Cricetulus griseus: one gene and its partner. The protein of the gene in region 1 binds, or shares a complex with, the protein of each later gene. Links are inferred from orthologs where the notes say so. Each region holds a gene or a part of one and is shown on either strand. Other genes may lie near its edges.

Region 1 (4,273 bases):
TCGAGACAGAGTTCCAGAACCATTAGGGCTACACAGAGAAACCTTGTCTCAAAAATAAATAATAATGGTGTACACCTTTCATCCCAATCCTCAGGGAGTAGCGAAGGTGGATCTATTTCAGTTTAAGGCCATCAAAATCTACATAGTGAGTTTCAGGACAGGCAGGGCTAATTAATGAGACTTTGACTCAAAAAAACAAAAACAAAAACAAAAACAAACAAAAAACCCACACAAAGAAAAAAACACCACTAGTAGTTAATAAGTTCTTTATATTCATAAGCACTCCTGATGTTGATTTTCTTCTAAAGACGTATGGACTAGGCCGGGCGGTGGTGGCGCACGAATTTAATCCCAGCATTCAGGAGGCAGAGGCAGGTGGATCTCTGTGAGTTCGAGACCAGCCTGGTCTACAAGAGCTAGTTTCAGGACAGCCTCCAAAGCCACAGAGAAACTCTGTCTTGAAAAACCAAACAAACAAAAAAAAAAGCATGGGGCAGTTTGACTCCCTCATTAGTAGCTGGACTCTCCCTTGTTGCCCTGGCTGCCTGGAGCAAAAGGACAGTCAGTCTCACAGCCACCTGGGCCTCCTTTAGGCCAGCTAGCTCAGCTGGTACTTTCTATAATGCCTTCAGAAAATGATATAAGCACTTTGGCTGATTGCCATGGCTCCTGAAAGCATAGCCTCAGGCAAGACTGTTTGAAACAGTGTGTATCACTGTTTCAATCTGATGCCTGGATAAATGAATTTATATCACTACTTTTGTTTTACTTTTGAGGCAGTACCCTACTATGTTGCCCTAGGAGGGTCTCACTGTGTCGTCCTGGCAGGCCTTGAACTCACTATGTAAGACCAGGCTAACCTAAAACTCACACAGATCTACCTGCCTCTGCCTCCCCAGTGCAGGGATCAAAGGCGTGCGGCTTATAGCTTGAGCAACAATATTCAGGAAGGGAAAACGAAAACTTGAAAAAACCTTTAGCGGCACCAGGATTCAGCTAACCAGTAGCATCAGGTCACACCTGCCCAGGAGCTCAGGAGCCACACTACAGATTAATTCCTTTCGCCCCGCCCCTCTTCCCTTCCGACAAGACCCGCCTCTATCCCTATGGGCTCCGCCTCTCTATCCAAAGGCCCCGCCCCTTTCCCCTCTGAAACCCGACCTCTAAACTCCGCTACCGCGGGCGAAATCCAAACCCCGTGCCTAGATTGCCTTGTGACTCCGCCCCTACAGCCAAGACCCCGCCCCTCGCAGACATATTTACAGATTGGACGGTACAGAATACCTCGTTTCCCAATTGGTCACAGGGAAGGGCAGCTTCATGACCCGGAAGTGATCTCGGAGGCGGCGGCCGCGTGGTTCGTGTATTCACCTACTGGATTGCCGCAGTCTCTAAGATGACCAAAATAAAGTCCGTTCCGGAGGAGTCTGAGGCGCAGGCGGAGGGCTGCAGCGAGGAGCGCACGTACGAGGAGCTGCTGGTCAACCTGAACCCCATCGCGCAGCCGCTGGCGTCCCGCCGCCTGACGCGCAAGCTCTACAAGTGCATCAAGAAGGGTGAGGCGGCAGGGCGCGTGGCGAACGCGGGGCGGAGCGGGCGGCGGGCAGGCGGGCACGGGCTGGACGAAGTCGCGGCTCACCCTTCTCTTTGCAGCCGTGAAGCAGAAGCAGATTCGGCGTGGGGTGAAGGAGGTTCAGAAATTTGTCAACAAAGGCGAGAAAGGGTAAGAACCAATCCTCACATTGGTTTTTAAGTTTTATGTGTGTGGTTTTTTTTTTTTTTTTTTTTGCAGCTCTGGGGATTGAACCTAGGGCCTGTGCATGCTAGACAATTAACTCTGCCACTTGAGTTTGCGTTTTCAGTTGGTTAAGACTGAATTACACCTACTTAAGTGCTCAGTAAAGGTGAAGTTTACTCTGGCCTGAACTGCCTTCACTACAGACACCCACATCACTTACAGGAGCTCCCAATGAACTACAGGGAAGAGAACCCAGACCACGTATCCCGCCCTGTTCGTTCGTTCTGTGGATTGGCAGTTCTTTTCTGGAAAGCTTCAGGCAACATGCTGTAGGGAGACATCTTCCCAAGTAGGCCAGAGGAGAATGAGGGCTACTTTCCACTGCATAGCAAGTTTAAAGCAAGCATGACTATGAAAACGTTACAAAAAACCAAAAGGATAGAATGATAGCCGGGAGTGGTGGTGCAGGCGTTTGTTTAATCCATCACTTGGGAAGCAGAGGCAGGCAGATCTCTTGAGTTCCAGGACAGCCAGAACTGTGTATAGATACACTATCTCAAACTAACAACAAAGGAGAGAATGGATGAATGTTGGTTTGGGGGTTTGGGATCCTGAGAAGTATCTCATGAAGGCCTTTCAATTTTTTTTTCTTTTTGACTTATTTTGTGTGTGAATGTTTTGCCTAAACATATATGTGTGTCACTGGTGTCCTTGGAGATCAGAAGAAAGCAAAGTGTCAGATCCCCTTAGACTGGAGTTACAGATGATTATGTACCACCATGTGGGTGCTGGGAATTGAATGTGGGCCCTCTGGAAGACCAGCTGAGGCACCTCTCTAGTCCTTGTGGGGCTTGTTTGGTTTTTGTTCTCAAAGCAAAGTGAACACTGAGAAGTGCTATTGAGGAAGAATCAGGAGAGGCAAGTCAGACTTAGGAAGCTGTTGCTGTAGCCCAAGTGAGGGGTCGGGACTAGAGTGAAGGTTGGAGGATTAGAGAGGACAGTGACAGGTCTGTGCCTCCCGTGCGCCCGTTTGGGGTGTAGTCTGTGACTGCAGACAGTGAAGGAAAACCATGTTTGTCTGAAAACACTTTAGGTGTGGTTTTAGACAACTTTTCAGTATTTCAAAGGGTACCTTTATTACATGTGTATGTGCCTGCATACATATGTTGCATACATGTGCACTCTGGTGCTTATGTGGGTGTCAGAGGACAACTTGGGAGAGTTGATTTTCTCCACCATTTCCGTTCCGGGGACTGACCGAACTCAGGTACCTGGGGTTGGCAGTGAGTGCTTATATCCACTGAGGCATCCTGAGTTGACATGGAAAATGTCCTGGACATGCTATGCTTCCCTGTCCTCTTAACAGATGGTTGTGTTTGGTGGGGCAAACGAGGCCTGGTATTTCCAGGTGGCACCTGGCACCATGATTATGGGTCAGGGTAGCCAAGGAGAAGGGAGCACAAGGGAGGGCAGGCAAGCAACAGGCAGTGAGGACCAGTGCTAGGCCAAAGGGAATGAACTATGGAATCAGGGTTTTGAACCAAGGATTCTTGATCTGTCACTCACCCTTAAAGAATATTCTTCCTCTGGGCGGATCATTAGGACTATGGGTCTGTACAGAACACTGACAACTCACAACTTTAGTTGACATTTTTACTCTGGCAAACTTTCTCTTGGAGCCAGGCGTTGGTGGTGCACACCTTTAATCCCAACACTCGGGAAGCAGAGGCAGGCGGATCTATGTGAGTTCGAGACCAGCCTGGACAGCCTCTAAAGCCACAGAGAAACCCGGTCTCGAAACGGCCCCCCCCCCCAAAAAAAAAAAAAAAACCTTTCTCTTGGGACAGACCCTGTCTGTTTTCAGACCCCTGCCAATTTCTATGGCTTTGTTTTTTGGTCCTCTCCTGTATGTATTGCAAAAGGCGACCCTTGTTCTTGGCAACCAGCCTTTCAGTACCACTCTGTTCCCTTGGCCTTATTCTGTCCCTGCCCCTGCCATTCTAGGAGCCTATTTGTGGCACTCAAGTCTCTGTTGGAGTCATCTCCTAGCCGGGCAGTGGTGGTGCACACCTTTAACCCCAGCACTTGGGAGGCAGAGGCAGGCAGATCCCAGTGAGTTCGAGGTCAGCCTGGTCTACAGAGCGAGTTCCAGGACAGCCAGGACTATCGTACACAGAAACACTGCCTCGAAGAACCAAAAAAAGAGTCATCTCCTAGAATGTCACTGACACTTAAGAGCTGAGTTTCTATTTCTTGGCATTCCTCCCATACCTCATCTGTCCCAGCATTGTACCGCTTGTCACATTTGGTGGTATTTATGTGCTGTCAAATAGAGATCATGTCCCCCAGAAGAAATACATTTGCCAAACACGACTTTACACTCCCTTCTAAAGTTGGAGGCTGTCATGAACATGGACTCCTTGGAGGCAGGGCATCTTATTTATCTCTGTGCTCTCACAGCCCAGCTGGAGGTAATGCTTACAACTAAACAACTGAAAGGGAAGGAGGGACCAAAGTAGAAATAATGGTGGTTTC
Region 2 (3,049 bases), on another chromosome or scaffold:
GAATGTAGGACTGTGCAACTGGGTAAATGCCTGGTGCCCCCAGAAGCCAGATGAGGGAGTCAAAGCTTCTGGAACTGGAGCATTGCAGCCAGTTGTGAGTTGTCATATGGGTGCTGGGAACCGAACCTGGATCCTCTGCAAGAGCATCAGGCATTCTTAACCACTGAACCATTTCTCCGGTCCCTTTTTCATTTTTTGAGACAAGAATCTGTCTATGTAGCCTAGGCTCAAACCTAAGACTGTCTTGCCTTAGCCTCTTGAGTGCATAAATTAGAGTCCTTGGTCACAACCGGTGCCTTAAAATTACCATAAAGTCTTTCACTAAATTACTTTTTGAAGTTATTAAATTAATTACATTAAATTAATAGATTAGCATAGCTGAAAAGTCAAACTAAGAAAAGTTTGAAGAGAAAAAAAGGAGATAAAAGGGTATGGGAGGATGAAAACGACTAAAATTCGGTGTGTGTGTGTGTCTGTGTGTGTTAAACGGTAGACAACAACAAAAACCACACAAAACAAACAAAAAACCCAGGGCATGCAAAATAAAATACGCAGCAGCAAGCATTCTTTCCATCCATTTCCCTGTAACCAAATCCTCCTCCAAGCCAGAAGATGCCGATATTAACTGTTTCTAGTACATTCCCGCCCCTCGCAAAATCTCGTGCATGTGTACACGTGTACACGTGTACACACACACACACACACACACACACACACACACACACACACACCACACACACACACACACACACATACACACACACACACACACACACACACCGTTTGGCTTTTTGTTTCTCAGTTTAAAGCAGGGTCTTACTGCTCGAATACTGCTCAGGTCGGCCTTGAACCTACTGGTTGCTAGAGATCCTTCCGCCTCAGCCTCCGGACTTCTGGGGTTACAAGCCGGTGTTAAACTCCCTAGTTTTTTTTAATATATCTTATGAGACGACAAGTAAACCAACTATATTCATTACTAAAAAAAAAAAAGAAAAAAAGAGAAAAAAAACTAAAGTTTTTCTGGCTATAAATTTAATATGTTACAATATTTTTGCCACTATGAATAGTGCTACAATGGTCATTTTGCAATATCTTGGTTTTAATTTTAATTTTTCTAAACTAGACTCTTATAAGACTTTTTATCTTTGAAAAACTGGAAATACTCCAAGAAAGTTACCTTACTGTGATATTATTCGCTACTCACCATGTAAGAAAGAGATGAATTTGTGGTCAGGTCCTGAGTTTGAATCTTGGTGCAGCCTCTAAAACAAAATTCACCAGTTTCATAAGAAAACCTTTACGTTCTTTTCGCTTTGCATAATATCGAATACCCATCATGCACTCTTTACCGCCAACACTTTGAAATGGGGCGGGGAACCGGATGTAAAAGTGGGGGTCTGAAAAAAATCTTACATCTTCCCTAGGATATAGGAGGTTGAGTATCCTGGAACCCTTGTTTCTCCAGGAACTACAAAACTAATGCCTCTGAAATGGGTGAGCAATTTGAGAGTAAAGACAGGACTGGATGCATCAACATTTAACCCACACCCATCCCTACCTCCCAACGTCTGGGAGTCCCTGGCACACAGTGGGCAATTCCATGGCTCTTTGCAAGGCAACTTTGCAAGGTTGTAGCTAGTTGGGAAGACCAAGGCCAAGTTCTGCTCCACTGTGCCCCCTTCTGGTCAACTGGATATGACTGGAGAAATGGACTACATTTCCCGGCATGCCTTGTACCGACTTCCGGTCAGATGGGAAGGATGTTGGCGAACACGGTTGAGGCGGTGTATTCCAGGCAAACGCGCCTGGCTGCGGAAGAGTGAGGATCTTCGTGCTGAGTTGCAGTCATGTTTCTCCAGTATTACCTCAACGAGCAGGGCGATCGCGTCTATACGTTGAAGGTAAGGGGAGAAAACAGCTGTAAGTCGGGAGGACAAGAAATTTAGGTGGGAGGAACAGTTGGAACCGGCCGCCGGCCAGCGCAGCCGGGTGCTTGGAGCCACGTCCGGGCCGAAACGTGGTAGATGCCGGCATTGCACGACTTCTTGTTCTGACCGCCGCGTCTCCTGGCTTCAGCTTTCCCATTTTCTTGTTGTCCCCTTGCTAGCACACCACTCATGTATTGAGATCATTTTCTTTTTTTCCTCGAGCAGAAATTTGACCCTATGGGACAACAGACTTGCTCTGCCCATCCTGCTCGGTTCTCCCCTGACGACAAATACTCAAGACACCGAATCACCATCAAGAGACGCTTCAAGGTGCTCATGACCCAGCAACCGCGTCCTGTTCTCTGAGGGTTCGTTAATTTTCATGTGCTGCCCTACCCCAGGCCGATTATCAATAACCAAAGGCGTCAGTCCGTGAGCAGTGAAGCCTTCCCATGCTGTTTGGAATCCTATCTTACTACGTGACTGAGTCTGTCGTGATGGGCATCGCCTGTAAAAGGAACAGTCTTAACTTTTTTTTTTTTTTTATGCTTTGAATTACTGCCAGGTTATTAAAGAGACAATGTCTTGAAAGTTCATTTTGTGTGTGATTGGAGGGAAAGATGGGGGAGTGTAGTGCCGTTGCTAGTACAAGGCCACTTGAGAACAATGGTAAGCCCTCACTTTTGAAGTAGCAATGCGCCATGAGTGTTAGGGTGTTGGGGAAGAAAGGCTGAGAAAGACTCCTACAAAGGTCAGCGTTCACTGAAAATATACTCCAGTCCCTGGAGTAAATTGTGGCCCCTTTAAATAACATTCCGAATTCCTCAAAGAATAATAAAGGCATAAAGACTTAATTGGCAGTTACGAAACTGGTACTGTTACCCCCTCTTTAAGGAGTAAAGGCACTCAACTTGTTTAGTCCTCGTTTTTGTTTTTGTTTTTTTCCTCAATTTTAAGAGTGGGAAGGAGCCTGGCGGTGGTGGCGACGCCTTTAATCCCAGCACTCAGGAGGCAGAGAGGCAGGCAGAACTCTTGAGTTCAAGGCCAGCCTGGTCTACAAATCGAGTGCCAGGCCAGGCTGCAAAGCCACAGAGAAACCCGGTCTCGAAAAAACCCCCCCA

Evidence for each region.
Region 2: Nhp2 (region 1) and Nop10 share a complex: the UniProt entries of both Homo sapiens proteins name them as parts of the H/ACA small nucleolar ribonucleoprotein (H/ACA snoRNP) complex. The link is inferred for Cricetulus griseus from reciprocal best matches to the Homo sapiens genes NHP2 and NOP10.

What each region holds. Positions count from the first base shown.
Region 1 is NC_048600.1:65,901,466-65,905,738, forward strand, and holds the start of Nhp2 (H/ACA ribonucleoprotein complex subunit 2), read left to right. Parts: upstream 1-1,314; 5' UTR 1,315-1,396; coding exon 1,397-1,556; intron 1,557-1,653; coding exon 1,654-1,723; intron 1,724-4,273. UniProt on the Homo sapiens protein: Required for ribosome biogenesis and telomere maintenance. Part of the H/ACA small nucleolar ribonucleoprotein (H/ACA snoRNP) complex, which catalyzes pseudouridylation of rRNA.
Region 2 is NC_048599.1:66,084,323-66,087,371, reverse strand, and holds Nop10 (H/ACA ribonucleoprotein complex subunit 3), read left to right. Parts: upstream 1-1,759; 5' UTR 1,760-1,847; coding exon 1,848-1,901; intron 1,902-2,153; coding exon 2,154-2,294; 3' UTR 2,295-2,524; downstream 2,525-3,049. UniProt on the Homo sapiens protein: Required for ribosome biogenesis and telomere maintenance. Part of the H/ACA small nucleolar ribonucleoprotein (H/ACA snoRNP) complex, which catalyzes pseudouridylation of rRNA.